4 linked regions of the Rhinolophus ferrumequinum genome follow. The main gene of each other region encodes a partner of the protein of the gene in region 3 in a complex. Links are inferred from orthologs where the notes say so. Each region holds a gene or a part of one and is shown on either strand. Other genes may lie near its edges. The genes, in order: LSM4, LSM3, SNRNP40 and CRNKL1.

Region 1 (7,907 bases), on a different chromosome or scaffold from region 3:
TATCCATCCATCCATCAGTGGGCAATTGGGTTGCTTCCACCTTTTGGCTATTGTGAATAATGCTGCTATGAGCATTGATGTGCTAATATCTTTTAGAGACCATGCTTGCAGTTCTTTTGGCCACTCAACTTTTGTAACTTTTTTTGGAAATAGTTTAAGACTGACACAAAGTTGCAAAAAAGTAGTACAGTTTCCCTGAACCCTTAACTCTGCTTCCCCCAGCGAAATGGTCTATCTTACTAACTAACCACTGTCAAAACCAGGAAATTGACATTAAAACAATGTAATGGACTCAGGTACCACCGCTGCTTTCCCAGAGTTTTGAAACCAAGACATTTCATATGTAAAGAACTGTTCCTTTTAAATTTTTTATGAATTTTCTTAGTGAGAGAATGGAGGGCGGCAAGTATGGTGTTTAGAGCCAGCTGGCCTGAGTTCAAATTCTGCCTGGCTCATCACATGGTGCGTACTCTTAGATGAGTTATTTTCCCATTCCAAGCCTCTGTTTCCTCAACTGTAAAATGGGGATTAAATAGTGCTGCAAGCTTTTTATATTGGAATAAGTTCAGATCTACAGAAAACTTGCAAAGACAGTACAGAAACTCCCCTATGCCCCTTACCCAGCTTCCCGGAATAAGAAGATCTTATCAGATGCATTTGTACAAGAAATTGACCTGGGTACATTGTTTTTAACCAACCTCCTGATGTTGTCTGGATGTCACCAGTTCTTCCACTCATGTCCTCTCCCTGTTCGTAGACTCTGTAGAAGGAATCCCGAGTTACATGTAGTCATCACGTCTCCCCAGTCCTCTTTTGTCTGGGATGGCTCTTAGGTCTTTCCTTGTTCATGATCTTAGTCTTGGAGAGAGCTGGCCAGGCGTTCTGCAGAATGCCCTCCATGCTGGTCTGTCTGATATTCCTGCCATGATTAGAATGGGGTTATGGGTGTTTGGGGAAGACCACAGAGGTGAGATGCCCTTCTCATCTCATATTATCAGGCAGGGATCCCTGATAGCCACGACTTATCACCAAGATAAAATCTGGATCACTTGGTTCAGGTGATGAATCCTGGGGCTGCCATAACAAATGACCACAAACTTGGTGGCTTGAAACAACATAAATGGATTCTCTTCAAGTTCAGGAGGGAAGAAGTCCAAAATCAAGTGTCAGCAGGGCCACGTTCCCTCTGGGGACTCTAGGGGAGGATCTTTCATGGTCTCTTCCAGCTTCTGGGGGCGCCTGGTGTTCCTTAGCGAGTGGCTGTATCACTCCAATCTCTGCTTCTGTCTTCTCTGTGTCTCAAATCTCCCTCTGCCTTTCTCTTAGAAGGACACCAGTCATTGGATTTTGGCTCTATCCTAAATCCCAGACATCTCTTCTCATGGTCCTTAACTTAATTACATCTGAAAGGACTCTTTTTCCAAATAAGGTCACATTCACAGGTTCTGGGGGTTAGTACTTGGACATATCTTTAGGGGGTCACCCTCGACTCACTACATGTGGTATCTGCCAGGTCTCTCTACCATTTAAGTCTCTATCAAGTTACTTTTTTCCTCTTTCTCTATTCTTTAGAAGTGAGTCACTGAGTCCATCTTTGGGGGTTTTGGGGGGAGGATTTACATATAATTCTTTTTTAAAGTGTGTTGTCCAGGACCCATCAGCTCCAAGTCAGGTAGTTGTTTTAATCTCGTTGTGGAGGGTGCAGCTCACAGCGGCCCTTGCGGGGATCAAACTGGCAACCTTGGTGTTATGAGCACCGCGCTCTAACCAACTGAGCTAACCGGCCGCCCCTACATATAATTTTTAATGAATGAAAAATATTCTGTCTAGTGGATGAACCATGTTTTACTCAACCAGTTCACCGCTGTCAGACCTTTATGTTCTTTCTGCTATTTTAGAATTGGCAACATTGCTGCAAGACCTCGGCAGAGTGGTTCCCTTCATTTGCAAGACCTCAGTATAAATGTTCAGAAAAGGGCAGGACAATTTTATGGGCTTTGAGACATAATGCCAATTTTTCCCCCACTTAAAAGGAAATATATATTAACTGGTTTCACTACAACCTTGCCCTATTTTCTTTTTTTTTAGTGAAGGGTAGGGTAGTTTTTTGAGTGTGATAGGTACATTAGTCCTCATTCTTTACATTTCTGCTGTCAGAAACACAATTGAAACTGGAATTTAAAAAATAGTATTAGTACAAGGGATAGGTAAAGATAGGATTTATGAAGCATCGGATACAACTGGATCCAGGATTAAACAGGGCCAAGACTCGGAGGTGGAGAGATGGCCATTTCTGTACCTGACAAACATTACCCCAGCTCTGCAATTCCAGCATCATCCCAGGGAAGCCTTCTGATTGGTTAAGCCTGGGTCATGTGTCCATGATGAGGGGGGAGGAGGAAATATGCTCAAACTGCCTCAAATAGTGGCCCATACAACCTCTCATGTTTTTAGCTCCTACATGTCAGAATCCAGAAGGCCTAAGTGTGCAAATGAGCAATTACAATGTGGCACAAATTGGGTAATGATGAAAATCAGTGCAAGGTACTGAAGTTCAAAGTATAAGAGAGGGAATGATTTGATTTGGGGGGTCAGCCATTGAAGAGTTCATGGAGTAGCTATGCGTTAGTGCAGGTTATGACACCTGCCAGAGACAGAGTCCAAACTCTAAGTGGATTAAGCAACAAAGGACAACTTCTTGGACTCATATAAGTGGAAAGTCAGATCTAATGGTTTCAGGTATAGCTGGATCCAGGGGTTCAAACCATGCATCCCTGTCCACTGAGTAGCTCTTATGTATGTTGGATTCTTGTGTATACTGGATCCTGATGGCACTGGGCTTACACTTTCTCACTTGTAAATCTATTTCACTAAATAGGAATATCTCACTATTTCATCATCTCACTTTTAACAACCTCCATGGAAACCACTCTTCTCCCTCCCAGCCCTCAGTATCCTTCTCAAGGGAGATTCTAATTAGCCCTGGTTGGTCACATGCTATCAATTTAACCAATCACTACGGTCAGGGGGACAGAAAACTCTGATTGGCCATCTCTATGTAGAAAGGACTGACAAAAACAGAAGTTACCAGAATCCACCACAAGGGGTCACCCAAGCAGAGTTTTCAAGGATAAATAGGAGTTTGCCAGTTGGGCAAAAAGAAAAAGCCTCTGCACATAGAAAAATCTAGAAAAGTCAGAAAGGGGTGAACCAGCACAAGATTTTCTTCCTACTTCCACCACCATATTAGTGAGGGGACATATCCTGTACCCAATTTCCGTTGTTTACATCAAGTGGCCTTTACCCTGGACAAACAAGCCTTGGCTGGTCATCCTGATCCCTCTAACCCAATTATCACATCACTGTTGGGTTGGCCACTTACCAGCGTCCTGCACACATCCCAGGCCTTGCCAGCTTCCCTGGGAGCAGCCCTGAGCTGATGACAGATGGGACTTAGAGAATAAATGCCCCAGCTGCCCTGACCACGGATGGGGCCATGATGAAACATGAGTTCTTATGCTTCTCCCTGAGGTCCCCAGCTGGACAGACCCCCAGTTGCCTTTTGCACCACCTACCCTTTGGTGCCCCCTGCAGGGATCCTTCCCTCCCTGTGTCAGGTCTTCACCCCCAATGGGGGCTTCCAGGAGTCACCCGCTATGTACACTTTGTGCCCTTGAGTCCTCATCTCAGGATCTGGTTTCTGGGGGAGGGAGTGACCCCAAACTAAGACATGAAGGACAACTGTTGGTCCTGGAGTAATGGGTGCCTTGTACTTTATCTGGGTTCCACATTTGATCAATCCACACAGTAACTGGTTATAAAGATATGTCCTAACATAACGTGTAAGTTCTAAGTCCCGGTACCTGTGACTATGACCTTATTTGAAATAAGATCTTCGCAGATGTAATTAAGGATCTTGAGATGACATTATTCTGTATTTAGAGTGCGTCTATTAAGAGAAAGGAGTATCCTTATAATAGAAAGCAGAGGAAGATTTAGACAGACACAGACAACACCATGTGAAGACAGAGACAGAGATTGGAGTGATGTGTCTACAAGCCAAAGAACTACAAGAATTGCCAACAACTAGCAAAAGCCTATGGGCCTGGGCTGAATTGTTCCTCAGAACCTTCTATAGGAACCAACACTGCTGACAATTTCGATTTCAGATTTCTGAATTAAGTTCTATTGTTTTAAGCCATCCCGTTTGAGGTAATTTGTTACAGCAGCCCAAGGAAACTGATACATATGCCTATTTATTTTGTTTACTGTCTGTCGCCCCAAAGGGCTCCTAAGCCTGAGGAGGGCCAGCTTTGTCAGGTTTGTACACTTGTGTTTCTAAGAGCAGGCACATAGTAGGTGCTCAATAAATATTTATTGCACGCTTGTGCATTAAGTGCTTAGTATGTGCCAGACGCTGTCCGAAGTGCTTTCACACAGCTTAAATCGTCTCATCCTTACTGCAACCTTCTAAAGCAGACACTATCATTACATCCATTTTACAGAAGGGCAAACTAAGGATCAGAGGAGCATAGTCTAGATTCCAATTTACCAAAAGACGTGCCTTAGACAGGGATCAACTACAATAATGAGAATCAGAAGAGTAGGAGCCCGAAGTTACTTCCTAATAACCACTAAGCCTCAGTTTCTACATTTGCAAGCTGCAAAAAATAATCAGCTTTGCCCACAGCGTGGAGCCCAGAAGAGCTGTTTCACTTGCGCATGCGCCCTTACCCACAGGCTTTCGGCCCCGTTGCACGTCGCTCTGCCTCCCTTTTGCAGCACTCACTGCGGCACTTTACGGCTTTCCCCATATTCTTGGCAGAAACACGGCCCGCACCGCCCCTTGTGCTTAGCAGGCCCCGCCCTACTCCTCGGGGATTAGTTGCCAGTCCCTTTAGCCCCGTGCTGACTGGTTCGCGTTGCTGCCACTCCAGTTTAGCCTAGTGGCGCGCGGCGGTTCGGCTACTGGCGGGCGCGTGAGCGGCGGCGGCGTCGGAAGTGGCCGGCGTGCCCAGTCCCCGCCGATACCATGGTGAGGGCAGGACGATGGCAAGGTGTCGCCGGGAAGCAGGGGATGCGGCCATTGAAGGCTGTTGGGGCGGGCGCTGGGGCAGGGGCTACGCGGACCGAGCGTGCAATCCGGGCCTGATTCCTGCCCCTCGGCCTGAGGCGGGGAAACTGAGGCCGAAGAGGGCGGGAGGGGGCTCTCTCAGGCACCCAGTCTCTGGGAACTTAGAGTTGGTATCAGTATAGCGGCCTAGCTGCAGTCTTCCCATTTTGCAAACGAGGAAACAGGCCGGAGCAGGTGGGGCCCGGTGAATGCAGCAGAGTGAGTTTTCGGGCAGGGAAGTGGCCCCGAGCGCGTCCTATCCAGTCTAATCTCATGTTTGAAAGCTGGAGCGCCAGCAAGTAGGGGCCCGCCTGAGTTCTCAAATTAAGCCAATTTGGGGGATTTCAGGGTTTGCAAGGCTCCTAGAATGTTAGCACAACCCCCTATGACTGTCGTTTTCAGGCTGAAAACAGACGCAGAGAGGGGGTTTGCTTCTTTGGATCACACAGCGTGTCATTCATTCCAGTGGGAAAGGGGGCTTTTTGAGCCAGGAGTGCACTAACTGCCCCCTTCCAGTTCACAGAAGGAAAACTTGAGGCCCTGACAGAAAGCCTCCAAGGCCAAACCGCTCACACATCGTGGAAGTTCTGGATCTAGGCCAGAGTGACCATGCCCCGGTGTGTAGACAAGGAAATGGAGGCCCCCACAGAGGGATTCAAAGTTGGGTCTCCTGGAATTGCGCCTGGCCGGTCAGCACTTGAGTCCCTTTGACAGGGTTGCCGCATGTTTCTGAGAGCCAGGGGTTGGTGAGGTTTCCTGCTAGCTCCTGCTGGCTGGATCCCTCTGCTGGAGGGCAAAGTGGGCCTGAGGGAACGACTGGACGGAGCTTTGTTAAGCTCCATGGAGGCCAGAGCTTTGTTTACCCCTGATAGAGTCCCAGAGTATAGAACAGAGCCTGTGCAAAGTACAGACTCGTTTCTTTAATCCGAAGAGTGTCCACCAGTGGACCAGGCATGACACACCCTTCGTGCCCACCAGTGGACAAGGCATGCTCACACAGCAGGGCGGGAAGCAGGGGTCACGGTGTGTATGTGGGTGTGATCATTGACAGTTTCCTGAATTGGGAGCGTCAGGAAACCTTTGGGTCTAGTCCTGGATTGAGCCAGACCTGAGAACCAGACCCCAGACCTTGTGAGAAAGCCCAGAGAAAGGAATCCTGTTTCCTGAAGCTTTTCTGACTTTCCCAACTCCACAGGGTCTTGGGAAAGATCCCATCTCCCCTGAACTGGGTGTCCGGCCCGCTCCTGTTTCCCTTGATCCCTTCACACGTCTTCTTCCTCTTCCCCACCAAGTTTTAAGTTTTCGGGGATCCTCCCCTTCCTCTTTTCTGTCTCCCGCCCAGTTTGGGGATGATAGTATAGAAGAAGGCAAGACATGGCCACTGCTCCACGCTGCTGCATCTGTGGAGAGCTATCCGGATGCCACCTCTCCAGCCTCTCCTTTCCTTCTTTGTGGGGTGGGGCGAGCATCCCACCCACCCCATGTACCTCCCTAGGCAGTGCGTGCGTTTCCCTCATGTATTTGTTCAGCAAATATTTACCAAGTCCCTCTCGTGTGTGTGGCCTCATGCTGGGCGCTGGACAAAGTCCACACCTTTTGAGTTTTCCAGTCTAGCAGGAGGCGTGGTGTTTCAAGTCTAGCCAGGGAGACAAGTAAACAAGATAATTAGAGACTGGCTGCGTCCTATAATGGAAACAGCAGAGGGTGGCCCAGGTGGAAACCTCATTCCTTCGATGGGGTTATGAGGACCTGGCCAAAGGAGGTGACATTTGAGGAACGACCAGCCTGCGGAAGGGAAGTGTAGGAACAAAGGTTGGGCGGCAGGACTGGATGGGCATGGTGTGTGAGGAGCAGCGTAGGCCCGTTTGCTGGACCTGGTCAGGCCTGGCCTGGTAGCCCGTCTGGGGAGTGTGTGCCAGGCAAGTCAGGGGAGGGGTGGGAGCAGGTGCTGCTGCCTTCTGCGTTTCAGATGTCCTGTCCGCTGCTTTGTGGATAGGGAATTGCCAGGACCCAAGGAGGCCGTGGGTCCTCCAGGGCGGTGCTGCCAGTAGCTGGGATGAGGTGGTAGCCTGAGAGGCTGTCGCTAGCATAGAGATTGTGAATGCCATAAAAGGACATCAGTGGTCCCCTGCTGACAAGCATCAGCCTACTTTCACCGGCTTTACCAGGACCTTGCTCTGTGTCCTTGGGCCGATCTCTCTACCTCTCTGCGCTGAGTCCATCTTCATTCTCACCTTCCAGGGCTAGCCTGACTCTGTGCCCTCTGTTGATGTAGGAGGAGGACCCGAGTGTCTCATCACCTTGGGCTTGATTCCCACTGCCCAGGAAAGCCCAAAGTTTCTCCACAGTAAAAGGCGACCTGGGTGCATGGCCCTGCATGCGGGTCTGAGCCTCCAGTTTTTCCTGTGCAGCCTAGGCGCAGAGTCACACAGGCGTACCCAAAGGAGAGGGCCGGAGCTGCAGGTTGGTCCTCGTTGGGGTCCCAGTCTGCCCACCCACCCGCCCTCCTTGGAGCAGCTGCCTCTTCTCCACATGGCCCCTTCTTCCTCCTTATCTTGCCCTTCCAGGAAGCCAGTGCAGGAAGCAGGCTTGGGCCTGGTTTCCTATCGGCGCTGGACCTCCCCTGGTGACCTCTCAGGGAAGGCCTGTGGGAAATGGGACCTGTCCCCGCCCAACAAGCCGTTCATGGGGAACCACCCTGTAGGTGTTGAGGACCATTTCTGACCTCCACTGGAGAGGCTTTCCAGTTCCACCCCGTGGAGAAACAGCTGGCCGGGATTGTGACAGTAGTGCG
Region 2 (7,588 bases), on a different chromosome or scaffold from region 3:
ACAAACAAACAAACAAACAATACAATTAAAAAATGGGCAGAAGACCTGAGTGGACATTTCTCTAAAGAAGACATACAGATCATACAGATGGCCAATACATATGAAAAGATGCTGAATGTCACTAATCACCAGAGAAATGCAAATGAAAACCACAACGAGGTATTACCTCACACCTGTCCGAATGGCCATCATCAATAAATCCAACAAGTGTTGGTGAGGATGCAGAAAAAAGAGAACCTTTGTGTACACTGTTGGTGGGATTGCAAACTGGTACAGCCACTATGGAAAATGGTTTTGGAGGTTCCGTAAACAATTAAAAATAGAACTACCATATGACCCAGCAATTCCACTTCTGGGTATTTATCTGAAGAAATCCAAAACACTAATTCCAAAAGATATATGCACCCCTGTGTTCACTGCAGCATTACTAGTAATAGCCAAGATATGGAAGCAACCCAAGTGCCCATCAATAGGCAACTGGATAAAGAAGAGTGGTACATATATACAATGGAATATTACTCAGCCATAAAAAGGAATAAAATGTTACCATTTGCAACAACATGGATGGATCTAGAAGGTATAATGCTAAATGAAATAAGTCAAACAGAGGAAGACAAATACGTATGATCTCACTTATCTGTGCAATCTAAAGAACAAAATAAACAAACAAAACAGAAATAAACTCTTAACTACTGACAACTGATGATTCACAGGTGGAAGGGGGGGTGGGGGAATGGGTGAAAAGGATGAAAGGATTAAGAAGTACAAATTGGTTGTTACGAAATAGTCAAGGGGATGTAAACTACAGCAGAGGGAATATAGTCAACAATATTGTAATAACTATGTATAGTGCCTGGTGGGTACTAGACTAACTGGGGGATCACTGCATAAATTATATAAATGTCTAACCATTATTATGTACACCTGAAACTAACGAAATAATATTGAATGTCAACTGTAACTAAAAAATTAAATAATTAAAAAAAGAAAAATCAGAATGTCCAACCATGAGATAATCATTAAATCAGTACAGTCACACAATGAAATATAACTCAGTCATCTTTTAAGACAAAGGAAAAAGATCTAGGATAAAATGCTAAGCATGCAAAGTGGTTTTTACAGTGTTTTCTACTATACACAAGAACACAGACTAGAAGGAAATATACCACTGTTTAGTGGTGGTTATTTCTGGATGATGGAAATATAGACTTTTTTTTCTTTATTCTTTGCTGTGTTTTTTGTCCCAGAGAATCTAGAGGCTATTTTCTAGGATTCTCCAAGATCTAGGGCTATCTAACATGGCTAACCAGCTGCTCTGAATTCAATGCGGTTATTTCAGTAGGGCAGGAATTACTACTGTGGTTTGCTTGGCCATCCACTGAAATTTAATAAGAACACCTGCTTAAACCTGCCAGTAGCATCTCATAGCACTTAAAATAAAATACAAACTAAGGGCCCTGCCCACCTCTCTCAACTCAATTCCTGCCACTCGCCCCCTCACTCACTCACTGTGTCAAGCCAACTGGCCAAGCTCATTCCCTCCTAAGACTCTTTAAATGTACTGTTCCCTCTGCTGAGAACTCTTTTCCCCCAGAACCTCCTATGAATGGTGCCTTCAGGACATTCAGTAACTGGCTCAAACTGTCACCTCCTCAGAGGCCTTCCCTGATCATTGATTCTTAGCTGCGTCTTCCCCACCTCCGTGTCAGTTTTATTACAGTAATCTGTTTTACTTTCTTCATAGCTCTTATCACCATGTGAATTTATTTTTAATTTATTGTCTGTTCTATGTACCTACCTCTCTCCAAAGATTATAAGGACCACGAGAGCAGGGACCTTGCGGTCTTGTTCACTACTATCATTTCATTGCATGCACTAAGGTGATGTCAAAACCTACACTGTTGCGCTGTTAGAAACAAGTCACCAAATTAGTATCACCCGCAGCTCAAACTACATTTGTTCCTCCACCAAAGCACAACAAAGATTCTAACTCTTCAGATCTTGGAAGCTGCCCTGAGAACTTAATTACTCTGGTTGTCAGAGTTTGAGTGAAGCTTAGGTGCATCCTGACATCCATTTAGCCTGAACTGATATGAACTAGCCCAACTGATTACCTAACATGGACCATGCCAGGAACTTTACATACTATCTCACTGAAAAATCACAACCACCCTGCAAGGTAGGATTATGTTTCACAGATCAAGTTTCGAATGGCTCAATTATCTGTCCAGGATAATTTACCCAAGTGCACATAACAACTGAGCGCTGGAGCTATACCAAACTGGTGCCCAGGTGAAGTGTTTAGCTAGAAGGAATGCTACCCAAGCAGGTGGCATTTCCATCAGATTAAAACTTTTAATTTTTGAATTGCCACATATTCAGACAAAATAGATTCCTTCTGACTAGAATACTAACCCCCTTTCACGGCCTCTTGCTGAAATATTATCCATCCCTAAAGTTACAGATCAAACCTAGCTCCTCCAGAGAGCATTTCCCAAGCTCTCCAGCCAAACTTGATTATTTCTTCAGAAGCCACAAAGCCCTGTACCTTCTCCCACAATATCACACTCTGCCTTGGATAATTTTTGTAAATGTCAACACTACTATATTCTAAGCTCCTTCAAATCTCTGTCTCCCACGTTACCTAGCTCATGTACAGCACCAACCAGATACTCAAAAAATATTCAAAGGTCATTTTAATGAGTAAATGAACTAAATGAAACTCATAGTATTAGTGCGAAGTAAATCACCTTTTAAGTTTAGAAATTGCTATCTTTTGACTATTTCCTAATGGATGATTGCCTTGTCATATGTACAGAATCACAGAATCATTGAATCTAGTGTCATAGGAGGCCCTGTTGGTTACCCAGTCTAATCTACTACCCAATTATTTCAGGAACCCCCAAAATCCCTCCACAGCAAGTATTTTACAATTACTTAAAATACTTATTGAGCACTTAGTATATGCTGGGGGGAGACGAGAGGATACATCAAAAAAAATAAGATGCGTTCATGAAGCTTAAATTCTATTAAGATGGGTGATTAAAAAGGAAGCAAAGAAATTAACAAGATCATTACAGATTGTGACAGAAGCTGTGAGGGCCTCTGTGATACAGAGCACCTGGTGAAGGACACCTTAGGGCACAATAGAAGAATCAGCCACAGCCAAGAACCATGGAAGAACATTCTAGGCAGAAAGAACATCAAACACAAAGGTTCAATGTGAGAACATGGCATGCGTGAGGAACAGAAAGGAGACCAATAAGGAGAGTATCTGGCAAACAAAAGAGGGGTAGGAGACAAAAAGGAGGAAGCAACAGCCAAATCCTGTAGGATCTTGTAGGCCATGATGAGGGATTTGGATTTTATGCCACGAGCAATGGGACACCACAGAGGGTTTGAAGGAGGAGCATGGAAGGATCTGATTTTGGTTTTGAAAGATCACTTGGGCTGCTGGGTGGAGAATTATTGCAGGGGAAGGAAGGGAAGACCAATAAAAAGGTAACTGCAGTCGTTCAAGTTTCAAGTAATGGTGGCTTGGGCAGGGGCTGTGGCCTTGGAAATAAAGAGAAGTGAAGAGATGTGCTATACTTCTGAGGATGAACTGACAGGACTTGCTGAAGGATTGGACGGATGTGCTCGTGTATGGAAAAGGAGGGGTTGGTTTGTTTAAACAAGTGGGGGAAGGATCATTTACTGAGATGGGAAAAAGTGGGGAAGAGGCAGGTTGAAAGGGGAAAATCAAGAGTCTTGCTTTGCACATGACAAACATAAGAAGCCTATTCGATATCCACGTGAAGTCGGGTTGGATCCAAATCTGGAACTCTGGGGTGAGATTTAGCTGAAGATACTATTCTGGGAGTCAGCACACCACAAACTACGTTCTGTTCTTCTACGGACACAAAACAAGTACAATGTCTTTTCCCTGTTTAGCCCTTCGCATCTACCAGGAGGTTGGACTTTATCCTGTGGGCCACAGGGAGCAGGAAAGAGGCGACGCAGGGGAGCTCCAGGTCAAGTTGGGCTCCAGGGGAACCGCTCAGGGTGCGTCACTCCTCGAGTGAGAACAAAGGCACAGCGACGGGGAGGACCGGGGCAGCGGCACAAACGCCAGCTTCCCTTGGCCACCGTCAAGTGGTCTTCTCAGCGCAGACCGGCGCGGAACAGTCTCCGCCCCCCACCTCCAGGAAGCTGGCTCCCCCACTCCCCGCACCCGGGCCTGCTTCCGGATCTCTTTCAGCATCTCTCCCTAAACACGGCTCGGCCTCGCTCTCACCCTCCTCCTTCTCCTGCCGCCCAGCCGTGCTCTTGCCCTTGGCCTTCTGGCTGCGCAGTTCGCGTCCCCGCAGCTCCCTGCCGGCTGCGCGACTCCGAGCCATCTACCCCGGGGAGGGCTCGCTTCGCGAGTGACGCACCAAACCGCGGGAAGCTGCACCCGCGTGGTCTACACCCCAAGGCGGGGAGAGGCATGACCACGCCCCTCCTTTATGGACCAAGCACACGCCCCCAGAGGAAGCGCCGTCCCAGTCCCAAGTGACAAATGCAAACTGCAGGAAGCAAGAAGACGCAAAACAAATTTTTTTCTACTTCCGGTGCATTGCGTCCTCGTGTTTCCGGAGACTGGAGGGGCGTGATATCGCGAGAGGCGAGAAAAGGCGCAGGGTTTGAAACATGGCGGACGACGTGGACCAGGTGAGTGTCCCCTGAGGAACTCACTCCAGAGCGGCTTCCCCACTCCGCGCCCTGGCCCTGTTCGGCTTTGCATACCCGGCTGCTTTCTTCAAGTTCACGGGACGGTGTCCTATCATGTCGCCTCTTTCCGGGTCGTCACGGCCTTTAATTTTGCCTCAGGCTCTGAGATCTTTTCTACTTCCAAATCCGCCAGAAAACTAAGTTACCCCTCCCGCTCCTCACTTCCTTTCTCTTGAGTCTCACCTTTATCCATAGAATGGCAGTAATTGTCCCTGCCTGCCTCGCAGAGCTGTCGGGATTCTGATAGAAAGCGCGGTAATTATCGCGCAACAATTACTTGACCGCAACAATGATTACTCATTCAATAAACATGTAGTGAACATCAACTCTGTATGGTTTACACACCGTTCTAAGCACCAGAGTCACAGGGATTGACATACGTGATCCCTGTCTCCACTTGGAGCTTATATTGCGAGGGAGGACAGATAAATACGTGTGATATATAGGAACTGGGATGTGGAAACGAGCAAGGAACTGGTATACAGAATAACTGCTGGTCCTACAGGCTTTCTCACCTGCTCTTCCTTCTTCCCAAAATGCTCTTCCTCAGATATCGTTGTGATCAGGCCGCAACTTCTCAAGCTTTCTACTGAAGCCTCGCTTCATCAAAGAGGACTTCTCTGGCCAGCTACATAAAATAGCACTCTCCCGAGTTTGTTTTATTTTTCTTCATAGCATGTTATGTGTTCATATTAAGTATATGCTGCTTTGTTTAATGTCTGTGTCCCCCAACTAAAATGTGAATTTCTTACGAGGAGTTTTGTGTACTATTCTGCCCTGGGTGGATTTAGAACAGTGCTGGAACCACTCGGCAGATATTTAGGTATTGAGGGAATGAATTGGATGATCAGGGAGGCCTCTTTGAAAAGGCAATGTTTAAAGCTGAATAGGATGAAAAAAGCAGACAGAGAGCATTCAGGACCCAGGCTAAAGGAGCAGTAGGCCTCTGTCAGCGTGTATATTCTTACAGTATTGTAATGATTTATATGCTTCTCCCAAATAGAATGAGCTGCTTTGAGGGCAGAGGCTGACTTCTGTATCATTGTAGTCTAGTAGTTGGTTACCTGGTCCTTAACAAACAGCTGTTGAACTGAGGTTGGGGACCAGTTGAGGACAGGACTTTTTCCCTTGAACGCACGCTGCAGGACTCCAAAGCCAGTGCTTTCAGCCAGTATTCTGTACTGCCTGCTGAGTATACTCATCTTATTGGCCAGTCGGCACCCTAAACTCAGCGTGCCCTGTACTGAACTCATTTTCCTTCACATTTTCATCTCTGCTTAGCGTTCTGACTTGTGTAGTAGTCATTAAGTCAGTGTTATTCAGATTACTAAATGATATTTGAGATAAGGCTAACGTCCCTGAGAGTGACTCCCTATGTCCTGAAGTTGTGTCAAGCAGCTTGGATTTTGAGGGAACAAAGTATAGTCATGATTATTTTGCTGTATAACTCCTTCCTGTGTATGTTTCTTTCAGTTCTCGTTTATATAGCGCTTACTATGCGCCAGGTACTGTTCTAAGCCTTCACATATGTCACTTAAGCCTCACAACAATGGTATTAAGTAGGCACTGTTATCCACATTTTACTGGATAGACGACTAAGGAAAGCATAGAGGGGTTAAGTTACTTGCTCACAGTCAATGCAGCGTAGCAATGATTCAAACACTACACTCTCTCTAGTACTATATTACTAAGCTTGTTTTTTTAATCAGCAACAAACTACCAACACCGTAGAAGAACCCCTGGATCTCATCAGGCTCAGCCTGGATGAGCGAATTTATGTGAAAATGAGAAATGACAGAGAGCTTCGAGGTAGATTACATGTAAGTAAATCTATTAAATTACCTTGAAATCAGGTTATTTCCTTGTTTTCCCTCCCTACTCCCACGCCTTTGAAATGTAAAAACTCTCAACTGTGGAACAGTGTTTGGAATGCAGAGAGGAAGGTGGCAGCTACCCATATTTCTATAACACAAATACAACTCTATTTTATTCATATTTTAACATTTTTTTCTCTTACCAGAAATAATGTGTTTATTAAAGAACATTTTCATTTCTTTCATATTTTACCCTTCTATTTATTTGCAGATAACATTTATTCTCCATTCTTATTTAAGTGTTTTTTTAATTACTGACATATGCATAATTTGTATTTTCTTGTGAAAAAACTTAAATAGCACAGAAATACATGCCGTAAAAGGTGAAATCCCATTTCTTCTACTGGTAACCACTGTTAAAAATTGGGTCTATGGTTTTTAAGGTATTTTCTGTATATTTACACGTATGTATTTATAATACGTGTCCATATGCATATATTTGCACTATACCACCACTAAAATAAATGGGATCTTGCTATACATATTTTTGGGCACTTTTCTTTTTCACTGAATCTTGGAAATCATTGATCATGAGTGCATATAGATCTTCTCTATTCTTTTTAATTACTACATAGAATTCTTTATATGGTAATAGTGATATTTAGATTGTTTTCCATTTTTTTGTTACTATAAATAATACTGCAGTAAGCATTTTAATACATATTTAATACATATTTCTTTGTGTGCATCTGCAAATATTTCTATAGGATTGGTCCTTTAAAGTAGTCCTATTTATTCATAAAAAGAGTAATTGAAGGTTTTGCCTCTTCTTGATAACATGTTGCTTTCCAGAGTGTGTTGTTTTTATTACTGCCATTCTACCCTAAAGAGGTTAAAAATAATTAAAGTTTATTGAGCATTAATTATATGTCAGGTACTAGTCTAAGTGTTTTGTATGTAATACACATCTCTTTTGATCTTTATAACAACCCTCTGTGGGTAGATACTAAATATCCCTGTTT
Region 3 (7,024 bases):
GACCAGTACTTACTCTTCCACGCCATCCTATTCTTTCAGTCACTAACCCTGAAGGCCCCTTCCAAGTCCTCTAATAATAATGGCCAATATTCGAGTACTTCCCATAGGCCATGTATTAACCTAAGAGCTTTATTTGTCTTAACTAATTCCCGTTTTGACCACCCTATGAGAGAGGCAATTATTATTGCCATTTTACAGATGAAGAAACTAAGACATAAGCAAGGCTAAGTAACTTACTCATAATTACAAAACTATGAATGATGCAGATGAGATTCAAATCCAATTTACAAACATTTTTTTCTTCCCTTTCTAGATTATGAAATCTTCTGAGCATGCCCTTGTCTTGGCAGCATATTCTTCAAATCTCCAGTGCTTAGCAGTGTAAAGCACACAGAAATTCGTAACTGTTTACGGAAATACTGAAGCACTGAATTTTACCCTATTTTACATTGTTAGTTAATTCATCAATTCAGCACATTTACTGACGGTTATATGTCAGGCCCCATGCTAATAAGCACTTCATAAACCTACTTTCAATCCTAAAAACAACTCCACAAAGTAGGGTGTCCCTGAATTACAGGGATGAAGTAACTTGTCCAAAACTCACAGCTAGAAAGAGACAAATTTTAGGCCATTCCAAGGGCTATATACACTTGCCTATAAACCATCCTTTTCAACACAATCCCTGTACTCAGACTTCCTAATCTGGTAGGAATAATGGTGACCAATTACAACACGGTATGATCAGTGCTAAAATAGTGGCTAAGTTCCAAATACTAAGAAAACAAGAAAGAGAAGAAGGGCCTGGGGTGAAGCCGGGACGTTTACAAGGTGACAACTGAGCAGTCCTTGAAGAATAAGTGGGAGTCCTCTTAGCAGAGACTATTGTTATTTGACCTCATTAGAACCCTCATCTAGTGTCGTCTGTTTTCTTCCAATCTATCAGCCCTCTCCTTTTTCTTCACTTTCCTCCCTATCCAGCTTAGATTCCACACTCCATCATTCAAACAATACTGTGACATTCCTTTAACTGTCTTTACAGTTTGCCTATATGGCAAAACACTTACGCTGGTGGAGTAGAATTGCAAACATCAGAATCCATTTTAGCTAGGTTAAGGAGAAAGGGATTTACAGCCAGGTATTATGTGGCTTACAAAATTACTGGAAGGGCCACAGGGGCAGGCGCTGGTAGAACTTCCAGAAACAACTCCTAATCCCCCAAATAACAGTCTTTGCCACAATCAAGAAAGTCATGGCTATCATTGCAGAATGTCACTAAACCGGAAAGCTGTTGACTAGAGAAACTCACTGTCTCTGCTATATTTGCCAGCAAAACTGGATGCCACTCTCCTCTCCATATTTAACTAGTTTTCACATTCAATTCTCATTTTAGGTGCAAAGGAGTCCAGATCATTTCTAGTGTCCCAGACTTTTCAGCAAGAGAAGGCACATTAGAGATGGGCATGTGTGTTAAGCAAACCAAATCCACAGTCCCTGCCATACTTGGATGTTTTTTTCCATGCCTGCATGAAATAGCCTGATAGTGCTGTTAAAAAATTATGATCTCTAACTTAAAATGGGTCCTTAATGCTGAAAGACAATCCCTGATTTCTCTGGTAAATGCATTCTCTCACATTCTACAATGATTTCCAAATCTGCAGTCTTCTCAAATGCCTGACCTCATCCCACTCGAAGTATGTAATTCCCTCTTCCTTTACTGAGAAAATAAAAGCTATGAGAAAAGAACTCATTTTACCAATACCAAACATACAAATAACCTGTATCTATTGCCTACATTTCCTTGTTTCTTTCTGTTACATGGAGAAACTATTTCTCTTCCTAAGGCTACTCCCGTTAACTGTCCTTGGGATCCCATCCATTCCTATGTTCTCAGAACACGACCCGTGAACCAATTTCTCTCTTGCATATTCAGTTTCTCCATCACTCTCTCAATTCAATCCTTGGTGACCCCTCATCTTCTTCCGCTTCCGTATCCTCTCCTCTCCTTTATAATCATATGTATGAAAAATACTCTCTAGATTCACAGATTCACTGCCTCCACGTCCTTGCCTACATCTTTGCCTCATATCTGGCTTCTGGCCCCATCACACCAACAAAATAACTCTTCCTAAGGATACCATGAGCTCCATGATGATAGAGCCAACATATTTTTTTCAATTCTCATGTTATTTCAATTTCAGGAGTTTCTGACACAGACCACTTCTTTGCTTCGGAGACAGCATCCATCTCTGATCCTCCTCCTTAGCTCTTTCTTCTCTCTCTCTCGTAGGTTCATGCTCCTGTTCTTGGCCATGAAATGTTAGAACTACTCAAGGTTCTAGCTTGGGTGATCTTACCCACACCTGTGGCTCAATTATCACCTATAGGCAAATTACTCCCAAATTTGTATTTCCAACAAAAGTCTCTCTTCTGAGTTCCAAAGCCGTATTTCAAACTGCCTCCAGGATGTGGTGAACAAACTCTCCCTTCCCCTGCCAAAACAATAACAACAAACAAAACTATCCAGTTGAAGAAGCCAGAAACCTAGAAGTTACATTTGAGTCCTCTTTCACTCCGAGTCAATCCGTCACCAAGTTCTACTGATTTTACTTCTTATATACCTCTAGAAACTGTCCAATGCTTTGCAGTTCCAATACGTCACTCCTCATTGCCAACAACTCTCACCTAAGTGGTCTGTCTGCATCTCTCTCTCTTCCATCTGTTCACACTACTGAGCCTGAGGGATCAAGGCCCCTCCCCCATCACACCACCCACTGTCCATCAAAAACAGAAAAACCCGCAGTGGTTTCCCATCAGTTTTATAGCAAAAGCTACAAAGTCCTGAAAGACCTGACCGCTACCTGTCTCCAGCGTCATCTTGTACCATACTCCCCTTCATTCTCTTTGGATCGGTCACACTGGCCTCTATGCTTTTTAGTCATTTTCTTTCCATTTGTCGCAGGGCCTCTGCCCATGCTGTTCTATAGGGAATATTCTGCCTTCCTCTCTTCACCTCATTAATTAGAAGTCTTCCTTAGGTATCAATTCAGGCATCTTTTCCTCAGAGAAGCCTCCCTGATTATTTCAGGCACTCATAACATCATCCGATCCAGTGTGCACCTCTCCTAGGTCGCACTTAATTTGTACATTTCTTGGTGAGATTGTTGTTTAACATGTTTTCCCCATTGGCCTCAAACCCCTGAGGTCAGGGGCCATGTCTGGTTCCCAATGTATTCTCAACGCTTTGCACAATAATTATCAGTTGGGCGATTAAGAAGGGTATGAGTCGAAATTTCTCAACAAGACCGGGCTCTGGAGAGGCAGGAGTCAGACATCTCCTTCATCTGTCTCTCGCAGGGGCACAGAGCAGACCCTAGCAAAACGCTGCAGAATCAGTGGCAGAAACCAGGCAGCCTCCTCAGTCAGACAGGACCCTAGGGGAGGCTGGGTACAGGCCTCTTCTCCCTGGGAGCGCCTGGCACAGGGCTGGACGGAGTAGGCGCTTGATGAAGTCAGCCGTCGAGGGCCTCAGGCAACCGCAGAGACCCCACAGCTCGGCTCCAGTCTAGAAAGGGAACCCAGGGGCTACAAACCGGATAGGATCTCTGAGCCTGCCTCTCCCCCTAGCAATCAAACCTTCATTTGAGAAATGCCAGGTTCCGACCACACAACCCAGGCACCGCCTCCAGATGCCGCAGCTACCCACCTCACATACCCCTTATACACTTACCCAGCGTCAGCTGCAGGTCTCCCGACCGCAGCATTGCGCGAAACGCCAAAACCCAGTCAGCGCGCTTCCACCCACAAGACACAGCGCGCCCAGGCGGGACTCCAGCTCCATTCGCCAATCCCAGAATCGTAATCCCATGACATCAGAAAGAACTGACCAATAACAAGAGACTATCCAGAGGGCGGTGCAGAGGGGAATATTGGAAGCCAATTGGCTTCTCCAAGCCGGAAGTTCTAAGGGAAAGACTAAGTCCGAACCAATCGTGCGGTGTCTGAGCTTGTCGGCGCGGTCTGCGGCGGGGCTGGGGATAGTGGGTGCCGCCATGATAGAACAACAGAAGCGCAAGGGCCCAGAGTTGCCGCTGGTTCCAGTCAAGCGGCAGCGGCATGAGTTGCTGTTGGGAGCAGCGGGGTCGGGCCCCGGAGCGGGTCAGCAGCAGGCGGCGCCCGGAGCTTTGCTGCAAGCGGTGAGTGAAGTAGCAGGCGGCCGTCGGCCCTCAGCTCATCTTCCTCGCTCCTTTCTCCAGCATCGGGATCGGGTGATCCCGCACCTGCCCTCTCCTCCGCACTGCGGGGCGGAACGAGGATTTCTACCTGGAGTTAAAGCAGAAAAACTGTAAAAGCGGCGGACACCCTGTGAATGCTCCATACGTTACACTGTTTTCAGTGTCTCGACCATCCTGTGAGGTGGCGTTAGAATTCAAGTTAAGGATCTTGAGCTCAAAATCGGGACTGGGGTTTTTGCATCCTAAATCTTCCAGAGATTCTGCTTCGAGTAAACAAGCATTCATAAAAGTTTGTAGAGTGGATGGGTGAATGAAATAATGAATGAATGAGTGAAGGAAGGACATGAATGATACTGGCTCGCTTTGGAACTTTGAGCAAGTTGCTTTTCCCTTTATTTCTCTGCACTATTAACAGCCTAAGAACAGTCAACATTCATTGAGACCTTGTACTAAGTACTTTTTTAATGAAAACTCCATTACTCTTGGCCTAAGAGTTAGGAACTGTTATCCCATTTGTAGATGGAAAAACAATGTAGTAAAAGATTTTAAATTATAACCCATGCTCTTTACTACATTTCTTGTGAGATAGACGTAGTGTCACACCTCTCCTGTGCTATTAGACTCAGATAAAGAAATAAGTATCTTCTCTCTCAACGCTTCAAATAGTGGGTCAGCAAATTTCTGCTGGCATCCTCAAAATATATCCAGAATTGCTACCACTTCTACCACCTCCATCACTGACTCCTGATCTAAGCCATTATTATCTCACCTGGCATGACAGCAAATAGGGTCCTAACTTGTATTCTTGTTTTCTGCTCTTGTATGGTCAACCTATTCTCAATCCAGCAGTCAGAGGAATCCTTCTAAATGTCAAACTATGTTACCCTCTGCTGAAAACTTTTGGTGGCTTTCCACTTCACTTAGTGTAAAACCAAAATCTTTAAAATCTTTTGCCCCCTTTGCCTTTTTGATCTACCAATTTTCCATTGCTCACCCTTGCTCCAATCACACTGGCTTCTGTGTTCCTGCCTCAAAACCATTGCATTTGCTGTTCTCTCTACTGGAATGCTCTTCTTCCAGATGTCCGCATGGTTTACACACTTAGCTCCTCCAAATCTTCATTCAAATATCACTTTTTTAGCGAGGGCTTTACTGACTACCCTATTTTAAATTGCAGCATCCCGTACTCACTAACCCAGATTGCTGCCTGTTGTTTTTGTTCATAACATATACCACCACCTATATGTTTTACTTGTTTTCTCTCTCTCTCCCTCCTTCTCTTTCTGCTTCCCTAACTAGAACACAAACTCGATTGTTTCTTTTGATCAATACTGTTTTCCCAGTGTCTAGGATAGTGCCTGGCACATTGTGTTTTTTTAATAAAGAGTAAGCTGGAAACTACTGACAAGTTGGGGGGTTTTGAAATGTAGTTGTTTATCTGACAAGTAAAAATACCAGCCCAGGTGTCAGTGTATTGCCCAAGCTTAGCCTTAGTGTTAACACCATAATCAAAAGGGCTTTCTACAATAAGCTATACGCTGAAGGATGTTGGGAAGCTCAGTTCAATCGTTCATTCACTAAATGAGCTAGAACTTGGGAAAACTGGTGAATGACACAGGCAGGATCCCTGCATTCACAGAGCTTTTCTAGTGGGGGAAAAGAAAATATGTAAACAAATACAGAAGGAGGGTAATTTCAGGTAATGGTAAGCTTTGTGAGTGTTAGTGGAACACAGAGTAGAGGTGGGGTACTGATAGAGTTTGAGTGATCAAGGAAAGACTCTCTGAACAGGAAACATTTGAAAGCCGCCAAATGCAGGAAGCTCTCGGGGAAGAGGATTCCTGTCAAGGGCAACAACGAGTGTAAAGACCCTGAGACAGAAATGAGTTTAACATGAATAAGCAATTGAAACTTGGCTATGGGACAGGAGCAAAGTGAGGGAGGCGGAAAGTTAATGTAACAGGCAGACACTGGACACTTCAGCAGGAAAATATCATATGGGAGGCATAAGTTACGTGAGAAGAGTTATAGTTCTCTAAATCAGGAGAAATCCACTCACTCATTTCCCTTGTCTTCCCTCCACCACCACCACCACCCCCCACTCCCCAATTTTGCGGCCTCCTTTGCCTCGATGCAGTGACTACCCTGTATGTCTCTTTTTTGCTTAGGGGCCTCCAAGATGTTCTTCCCTTCAAGCTCCAATCATGCTTCTCTCAGGACATGAAGGGGAAGTATACTGCTGCAAGTTTCACCCCAATGGATCCACCTTAGCATCTGCAGGATTTGACCGACTGATATGTAAGACATAGTTTTTGAATCTTGAATAATCGCTGTCTGCCAAATAGCGGTTATTTTTTAAAACCTTTGGTGCCACAGAAGGTGTCAGTCTGAGTTGGTCACATAAGCTGGTGGCTAGCACGCTAAAATAGGGTTGTAAAAATGCTGACTGAGTTTGGTTGTAAAACTCAGGGTCTGTGTGGTAAATATAGGAGTTATGTTATTAGTTGGGAAGTGAGTGGCTCTCCTTTGAGAATATCTTCCTCATGGAGGCAAATCTGGAGCTGATTTAGCAAAATAAGAAATCTAGGCTTAACTGGCTAATGGGAGTATTGAGGAGAGAGATAACTTCCTTTCCCCGAAGGTGGGAGGCTGTCTTCTTGATCCACTCAGAATCTTAGCATATGGGAAGGAAGGAGAAAATCCTAAAGTGGCAGTTCAACTTGGATAACCTACCGGTACATCATTAGGATCTGCTGCCAGGTGCTTAGCTACTAGTAAGGAATACCCAT
Region 4 (7,069 bases), on a different chromosome or scaffold from region 3:
GGGCAGATTTTCTTGTTGCGCATTCCTTGCCATAAGCCCCGTAAAGGACAAAGGAGTGGGGTCCCTTCCAGATGTGTGTTAAAACTGATAAACATTCTTGAGCTTACTTAGCTATGTACTTACAGAAGATAAATGATATTAAGCTGTCCAAACAGCTTCTGGGTAAATTGTCTAATGAGGTTTTTGATACAATAAACATCCTGCGATTCTGTTCTTCGGCAATGAACCACTTCTACCTTTCCTCTTGGAGAAGTGAGTATTGACATTTTCTATCCTGTCCCAAAAAGACAGAAAAAAGCCCACTGTTAATCTGAGATGACAAGCCAGTCTGGTTACAGTATTTACAAAATTGGATATTAATTCAATTTCCATACATCAAAGTGAACTTGGTGTTAGAGTGCTGGTGGCACACATTTTCCCCTGGGGGTAGGCTATGACAACTGACACTACAAACCAGCTGACATGTTTCTCTCCAGGGGAATGATGCTTCTGAGAACTGGCTTGTCTAGAAGTTTCTGCAACTGTATTCTTTGTTTCCAATAAAGCTGCTTTCAAGTATTCTAACAATAGAATTAAAAAACATTGAAAGGAATTGTTTACTGACTCAGGGGTCCTCTTATATTTAAACAGCCACCTAGGCATGTGGTCAAGAGTTACAGGGGAAATACTGACAGCTGCTGCCCACGTTCCAAATAGTTCCCCAAACTGGAATCCTGAAGGGCAGCAGTCCTAAGAGATATTTTGAGGAAAAAAACGTTCTGTGGTCAAATAAGCATAGGAAATGCTGCTTATGATGGTGTTCCTGAGGGGCCGTAATGTCCATAAAGTCTTTGAGAAGTTCCCTAAGAAGTACCTGCTTTCTTGGTGTAACTCAGCCTTTCTCACTCCCTTTCTGAGGAGAATCTCTAATGACAGCGACAGTGGAGAGACTAATATTCGAGAAAGACACTTCGGGGAATGCTGTTGACAGGAACAGTAGGCCACAAAATGATTTCACTCTCTCTCAATGTCTTAGTGTGTGTGTGTGTGTGTGTGTGTGTGTGTGTGTGTGTGTCTCCCTCTCTCTCTCTTTTCTTTTCTTTCCTTCCTTCCTCCCTTCCTCCATCTCTCCCTCCCTTCCTTCCATTTCCCTCCTTTCCTTTTTTCTAGGGAAAAACACCTTATTATGTACTTGCTAGTGAGCTCAAAGCAGGCAAATTAATTTTTCACCATGATATTGAGTCTAAGAACAATCTGAAACATTTCCAGCACCCTGGAAGAATGCCGCTTAGCACCACCCAGTCAATTCGCTCCTGCAAAAGGTAACTGTATTCTGACTTCTATCCCATAGATGATCTTTGCCAATTTTTGAACATCATATACATGGAATCATGCAGTATATATAGTTTTCTTTCAAAACACAATATATCTTTTGGCTTTTTGTTGTTGTTTAGATATATCCTTGCATGATTTTCATTTTGCCAAAGTACCAAAAAACTTGAGTGCCGTAGGGGCCTGAGACATCTCTGAACTGAGTTTCTCCTTTGTCAGATGAGGAAACTGAAGCCCACAAGGTGAAGTGTCTTGTCTCAGGACAGATGTTTGGTCAGAAACAGAACCTTGGACTTCTCCTTCCAGCCCAGCCCCTTACCACTCCCATCTGTGTAAGTAACCTGCAGGTTGGCTCTATGGATAAGAAGTTCCCCTGCCCTCATTGTCCACTGATGTTCGGATGAACTACAGCTTAAATGGTTGTAAACCTTCAGATGTTAAGGGTGTAAAGTGCAGGGTAACACAGGAGGATTCGCAAAGGTGGCAGATGGCATCCAGAAATTTCATCCAGTGGACCCTGTCTTGGTGAATTAACACCATCCTCATCTTTGCAGGCTTATAAACGGGTTTCATCAACATGCTCAAAGCAAACCCAGCTCTGGGGAATGGCCCTACATTATCCAAGCTCACAGAAACTGAAAGAACAAGTACAAAATGTCAATTTATTAATTTACAAAGAGAAAGTCAATGGGGGGCAGTCCAGGTGTTTCTGTAGCCCAGATAGTTAACAAATAAGTCATGTGGGTTAAGTACAAGTCTGACTTCCTCTCCTTAACAGGGTAGAAGGGAATTATTTCTCCACCTCCCATGAGCTATGTGGCCACAATCTCGCAACCTTGGTATCAAGGTGACTGCAGTGAAATGGGGAACTCAGGCTAGTCTCGTTCCAGCCAGATGTTGCCTTCTGGAAATGTGGTCTTAGAATGGCAGATCTTCACATTTTGCAAAGGAAGAAAAGCATGCTGTTTACATAACATCCCCCAAATTTGAAATATTGGCTCAAAATTCTTCTTCACACTCTGCAGATATAAATAAACATTTATTTAAGCTGGTTTAGCTTCCATTCCTGCTGTGGCAGAGCCACCCATGCCATCTCTGTGGACCAGCTACACAGAAAGCCCAGCTCTCAGAAGGTGGCTTACATGGGGCCATGGTTAAGAGCATAGGATGTGGAATCAGAGTACCAGGGATGACAACCACCTTCTATCCCTTATTAGCTGTGACATTGGGCAAATTACCAAAACTCTCAGTTCCTCAGTTTCCTCATCTGTAAATTAGAGATAATATATATACCTCGAAGAGTTTTATAAATGAGTTATGTATAAAATGCTAAAAGCTGTGTCTGACATAGTTAAGTGCTCACTCAGTACATATCAGCAACCATTAAAATCATTTTATTGAGCATTACATTCTCAGGATTCAAAATAGTGAACCTCAAGAAGTCGCTCACCAGCCCTGAAGCCTGAGGGGCCCTCACCCACTGTAGAGATGCCAGGCCACAAAAATCAGAGACAGGCTATGCTTGGGTGGCATCTTCACAGATGTTTGCCTAAACATCTCTATTTTGTTATGACCACAGGGCCAATCCATCCCCTTTGTGACAGACACTTCCTTTCCTAGATAAACAAATATACCTTTAATCAATTTGCAGTCAAGTTTTGATCACTTGCTAGCATTTCCTTTCTAAGATGGCTTTACCTAGCGCAGCTGCAATGAGTTGATTTCACATTCTAACCCTAATGTCATTCTTTCTTGACATTTAATTTTTTAAAATTATTTTTACACAGCAATGCACTATAATGCATTCTTCATTATACCTTCTCAATGCAGAATGCATTCTCATTGCGAAAACATATAACTTTACAAACAAGGCTGAAATCCTGTCTTTTTTTATTGTGGTAAAATATGCATAACATAAAATTTCTCTAAGAAATAGTTTTTTTCTTTTTAATTCTCTTAACCATTTGCTTGCACATAATTAATTTTTCTGTTTTTGAAGGCAGGTCAAGAATTATATCACCTAACATTTACTGAGCGCTTTACATAGATTTTCTCTTTAATCCTGGTGAAATAGATATTATTATCATCACCTTACAATTCAAGATATTGAGGCCAAGAGAATTTATGTAATTAAGGCACACTCAGAGAATTTAAACATCTGTTTATCTGACAAGAAGGCTGGCTGGTCTGCTAGTAGTCTACTGATTTATTTTTATTTTTGTCTTATCTGGCTTTAAAATACTTTCAGGTTTTTTTTAATTATAAACCCTGTAGTTAATTATTTGGTCACAGCTGTCCAGAAACGAAGGGCAGTGGACCTCAGAAACTACAAGGCCTAGAATGCAACGCAGCGCGGGCAGCTTAGGAGCTCAGCAGCTCGCCCACTGGCACGCAGGGAACAGTAGTAGTTTTCGGGCCGGCCTCTCTTCCCCCGCCCTCCAGCGTCCAGATCACAGCGTGGTTCTTACACCCTCGGCCGGACGCCACGGCTAGGCAGATCCACCCCACCTCGCGCGGTCATCACAGTCCCGGAGACTGACCTGGAGATGCGCCCTAACTCCCTGGACCCAGTTCTCGCGTTCCTGCGGGGCAGGCCGACTCTACCCACCTCAAACTCAGACTCCTGACGCCGCGCTCCACACCCGACTCTAAAGAGGACGCGCAGGCGAGTTACCACAGAAACGGCGCTCCCTCGGTCACGGCGAGTGCGTGAGGTCAAAGGTCATCAAGCCAGTTCCGCTTCCGGCCCCGAATCCCGCTTGTTATCAGAAAGCTTTGGGGCGTCGGCGAGCCCTTAGGCTCGATATTTGGGGTCCAGGGTTCGCCCGACGTCTTCTGCTGCAGCCATGGCGGCCTCTACCGCGGCCGGGAAGCAGAGAATTCCCAAAGTGGCCAAGGTAAGTGATAGCGAGTGTGCTTGGGGGAAGGGGCCTGGGAGAGGGGCTCGCACCAGCCTCCATGGTACCCGGGCCGGAGAGTGTTGTCTGAGGAGCAGGCCCACCCCGTGCCGGGCCGAGGGGGAGAGAGAGGGAACGGGATAGCCGGTGGTGGGGCGCAGGCCCTTGTCACCCGGAGTATTGCCCGCAGCGGCGTGGCCTTCGTGCTGGGTAGGTGTTTTTGGGGGATTCGGGTGGGTGTAAGAGTGGGGTCATTCATTCAGCAAAAATACCTGAGCCAGGCTGTCGGCTAAGCGAGGCGGAGCTCACACTCTCATGCGGGTGACGGGCTGTACACAATGAGACAGCAGTGTAAAACTGCAACCTTGCCAAATGCTGCTAAAGCCAAGTAGAAGGGGCCCCGGAATAATGGGGGGGGGGGGGGTGAGGGCGTCTCCAGAGTCAGCTTTGCTGAGGAAGTGACATTTAAGCTGAGACTTAAAGGCTGAGTAGGAATTAGCCCGTGGAGAGTGACATAGGTGGCTGATACTTACCAAGTATTTTATGTGTAACAGGCTTTGTTCTACGCCTTTATTGATCCTCTCCTTTCAGTCTGTTTTTCCTGCCCATGTCCATTTAGATGACTCCCAGACGTAATACATATAAAGCACACAGCCTGCTGTCTGGTACTTAATGCTCATCGGCTATGAGCTACCGGCATTATCATCATCTTTCCACATGTAGCACTAAATAATATTTCTTGTAATTCCACTCCATAAAATTGTATTGGTCCAGTAGAAATATAATGTGAGCCACATATGTAATTTAAGGTTTTTTTCCTCTTTTTTAAAAATTATATTGGGGAACAATGTGTTTCTCCAGGGCCCATCAGCTCCAAGTCATTGTCCTTCAATCTAGTTATGGAGGGAGCAGCTCACTGGCCCATGTGGGAATCGAACTGGCAACCCTATTGTTCAGAGCTCAACTCTAACCAACTGAGCCCACCGGCAGCCCCTGTAATTTTTTTCTGATAGCTACATTAAAAAGTCATTAGCAAGGGACATTAATTTTAATTATATATTTTATTTAATAACTCAGTTTATCAAAGATATTGTCATTCCACCATGTAATCAATACAAAAAAATTAGGTAGTTTATTCTTTCCCTCATACTAAGTCTTCAAAATCTACTGTGTTTTACACTTACAGCCCATCTCAATTTGGACTCGCCACATGTGGCTCCTGGCTACCATGTTAGACTGCACAGCTCTAAGACCTCAAGAAGCTTATAGTCTGATGAGGGGAACTTACCGAATATTGTCTTTGACTTAAAATGCCATGAAAAACCAAATGCATTCATCCACCTGGGTCATTAATTCTGAGTAGAGATTGTAATGCTTGATAAGATATGGAATACATCTTTATAAAGCAAAACCTTTGGTGAGCTTTTTTTCCTAGGCAGCCTCAAAGTTTTTTATTTTACTAAGTTAAAAGGGAAAATTTGCTATTTTTGCTACCTTTTTTCTTGAGACTTTTACCTGTGGTTTTGTAATAGATATGCATTAAATAGAAGACATTTTTTTTTCTGTTTAGTTGCACAGAGAAATGGGAACATGTCACACAAAGGGGCAGTTTGTAATAATACATATAAAGTTCTCATCCTAAAAAAATTTTGTTTGTTTCTTAAATCTTGTGTGAAAGGCATCTCCTAAAAATAGAAACATCTTTTTTTAAAAGGTAAAAAACAAAGCTCCAGCTGAGGTACAGATAACTGCCGAACAGCTCTTAAGAGAAGCTAAAGAAAGAGAACTTGAGCTTCTTCCACCTCCACCTCAACAGAAGATCACAGATGAAGAAGAGTTAAATGATTACAAACTAAGGAAAAGGAAGGTCCGTCAATGTGATGTCTTTCATTATGTTATAATGTTAAGAATTTATAGGTTATAACTATTGCATTATGTTGTACACTGGAAACTAATGTAAAAAAAAAATTATAGGTCAGAGTTTGAAAAGTTCTTCATGGGTTAGAGAGACTATAAGATGACAAGAGGTTAGTGTTTCTAGCCACATAAATAATATAACTTCGGGTTACCAGATAACTGCATTTTACTGAACTTTATGAAATATACCATGAGTTGTCTATTTTAGAATATAAAGAAATTAAGTCCATCCAAAATATAATTCCTGGTGCTGAATCAAAGATGGGTGGAAGTTAAACAGGTGGAACAACTGACAGCTGGAAGAGGGGTGGACTTAGCAAGACTGTGTTAATGATTCTGTCTATACTGTCCTCTCTGTTAAGAATTAAGATGGGAAAGATCCATGAGAAGACTGAGGATCTGAGTTGACCTTCTTACACTAAAATGTGTGATTATTTTAAACCACTAATCCTGCTATATCTACTTATTAGTTATCTTCAATGAATTATGTATGAAATGACATAATTACAATGAATTATGTATGAGACATTACCAAAAAGATTTAGTCAAAAATGTTTTCTTACTAGGAACAAGTAGAGTATATTACAGTACCAGTTAGTTGTTATGGGCAATAAAAGTAAATACCAACAATTCTGCTAATAATTCTCTAAATCTTTTATATCTATTTTTAGATATTTATATCTAAAGTTTCCCTCTTGTTTGCATGTAAGATTTTAAAGAAACACTTGTGATTGTAGCCTTCTGTAGTGGATTTCTTATTTCTTAAGGATTCCAGGGTGTAATTTCTCTTAAATAAGAACAGAATGAGTAACCTTTTTAGTACAAGGATTAATAGACAAAGGATGATGTCATTTTTAGTTATTTTCTCTTTAATTTGACTGTTTTGATTTCCACCAGACTTTTGAAGATAACATAAGAAAAAACAGGACTGTGATTAGTAACTG

The links.
Region 1: SNRNP40 (region 3) and LSM4 share a complex: the UniProt entries of both Homo sapiens proteins name them as parts of the U4/U6-U5 tri-snRNP complex. The link is inferred for Rhinolophus ferrumequinum from reciprocal best matches to the Homo sapiens genes SNRNP40 and LSM4.
Region 2: SNRNP40 (region 3) and LSM3 share a complex: the UniProt entries of both Homo sapiens proteins name them as parts of the U4/U6-U5 tri-snRNP complex. The link is inferred for Rhinolophus ferrumequinum from reciprocal best matches to the Homo sapiens genes SNRNP40 and LSM3.
Region 4: SNRNP40 (region 3) and CRNKL1 share a complex: the UniProt entries of both Homo sapiens proteins name them as parts of the minor spliceosome. The link is inferred for Rhinolophus ferrumequinum from reciprocal best matches to the Homo sapiens genes SNRNP40 and CRNKL1.

Annotation. Positions count from the first base shown.
Region 1 is NC_046301.1:51,124,267-51,132,173, reverse strand, and holds the start of LSM4 (U6 snRNA-associated Sm-like protein LSm4), read left to right. Parts: upstream 1-4,886; 5' UTR 4,887-5,032; coding exon 5,033-5,035; intron 5,036-7,907. UniProt on the Homo sapiens protein: Plays a role in pre-mRNA splicing as component of the U4/U6-U5 tri-snRNP complex that is involved in spliceosome assembly, and as component of the precatalytic spliceosome (spliceosome B complex).
Region 2 is NC_046300.1:40,459,388-40,466,975, forward strand, and holds the start of LSM3 (U6 snRNA-associated Sm-like protein LSm3), read left to right. Parts: upstream 1-4,575; 5' UTR 4,576-4,671; coding exon 4,672-4,692; intron 4,693-6,461; coding exon 6,462-6,572; intron 6,573-7,588. Other genes in the region: XPC (DNA repair protein complementing XP-C cells), read right to left, coding at 4,277-4,379. UniProt on the Homo sapiens protein: Plays a role in pre-mRNA splicing as component of the U4/U6-U5 tri-snRNP complex that is involved in spliceosome assembly, and as component of the precatalytic spliceosome (spliceosome B complex).
Region 3 is NC_046292.1:21,444,238-21,451,261, reverse strand, and holds the start of SNRNP40 (U5 small nuclear ribonucleoprotein 40 kDa protein), read left to right. Parts: upstream 1-4,003; 5' UTR 4,004-4,052; coding exon 4,053-4,196; intron 4,197-6,403; coding exon 6,404-6,533; intron 6,534-7,024. UniProt on the Homo sapiens protein: Required for pre-mRNA splicing as component of the activated spliceosome. Component of the U5 small nuclear ribonucleoprotein (snRNP) complex and the U4/U6-U5 tri-snRNP complex, building blocks of the spliceosome.
Region 4 is NC_046306.1:40,159,934-40,167,002, reverse strand, and holds the start of CRNKL1 (crooked neck-like protein 1), read left to right. Parts: upstream 1-4,048; 5' UTR 4,049-4,157; coding exon 4,158-4,208; intron 4,209-5,922; coding exon 5,923-6,075; intron 6,076-7,022; coding exon 7,023-7,069. Other genes in the region: CFAP61 (cilia- and flagella-associated protein 61), read right to left, coding at 124-266. UniProt on the Homo sapiens protein: Involved in pre-mRNA splicing process. As a component of the minor spliceosome, involved in the splicing of U12-type introns in pre-mRNAs.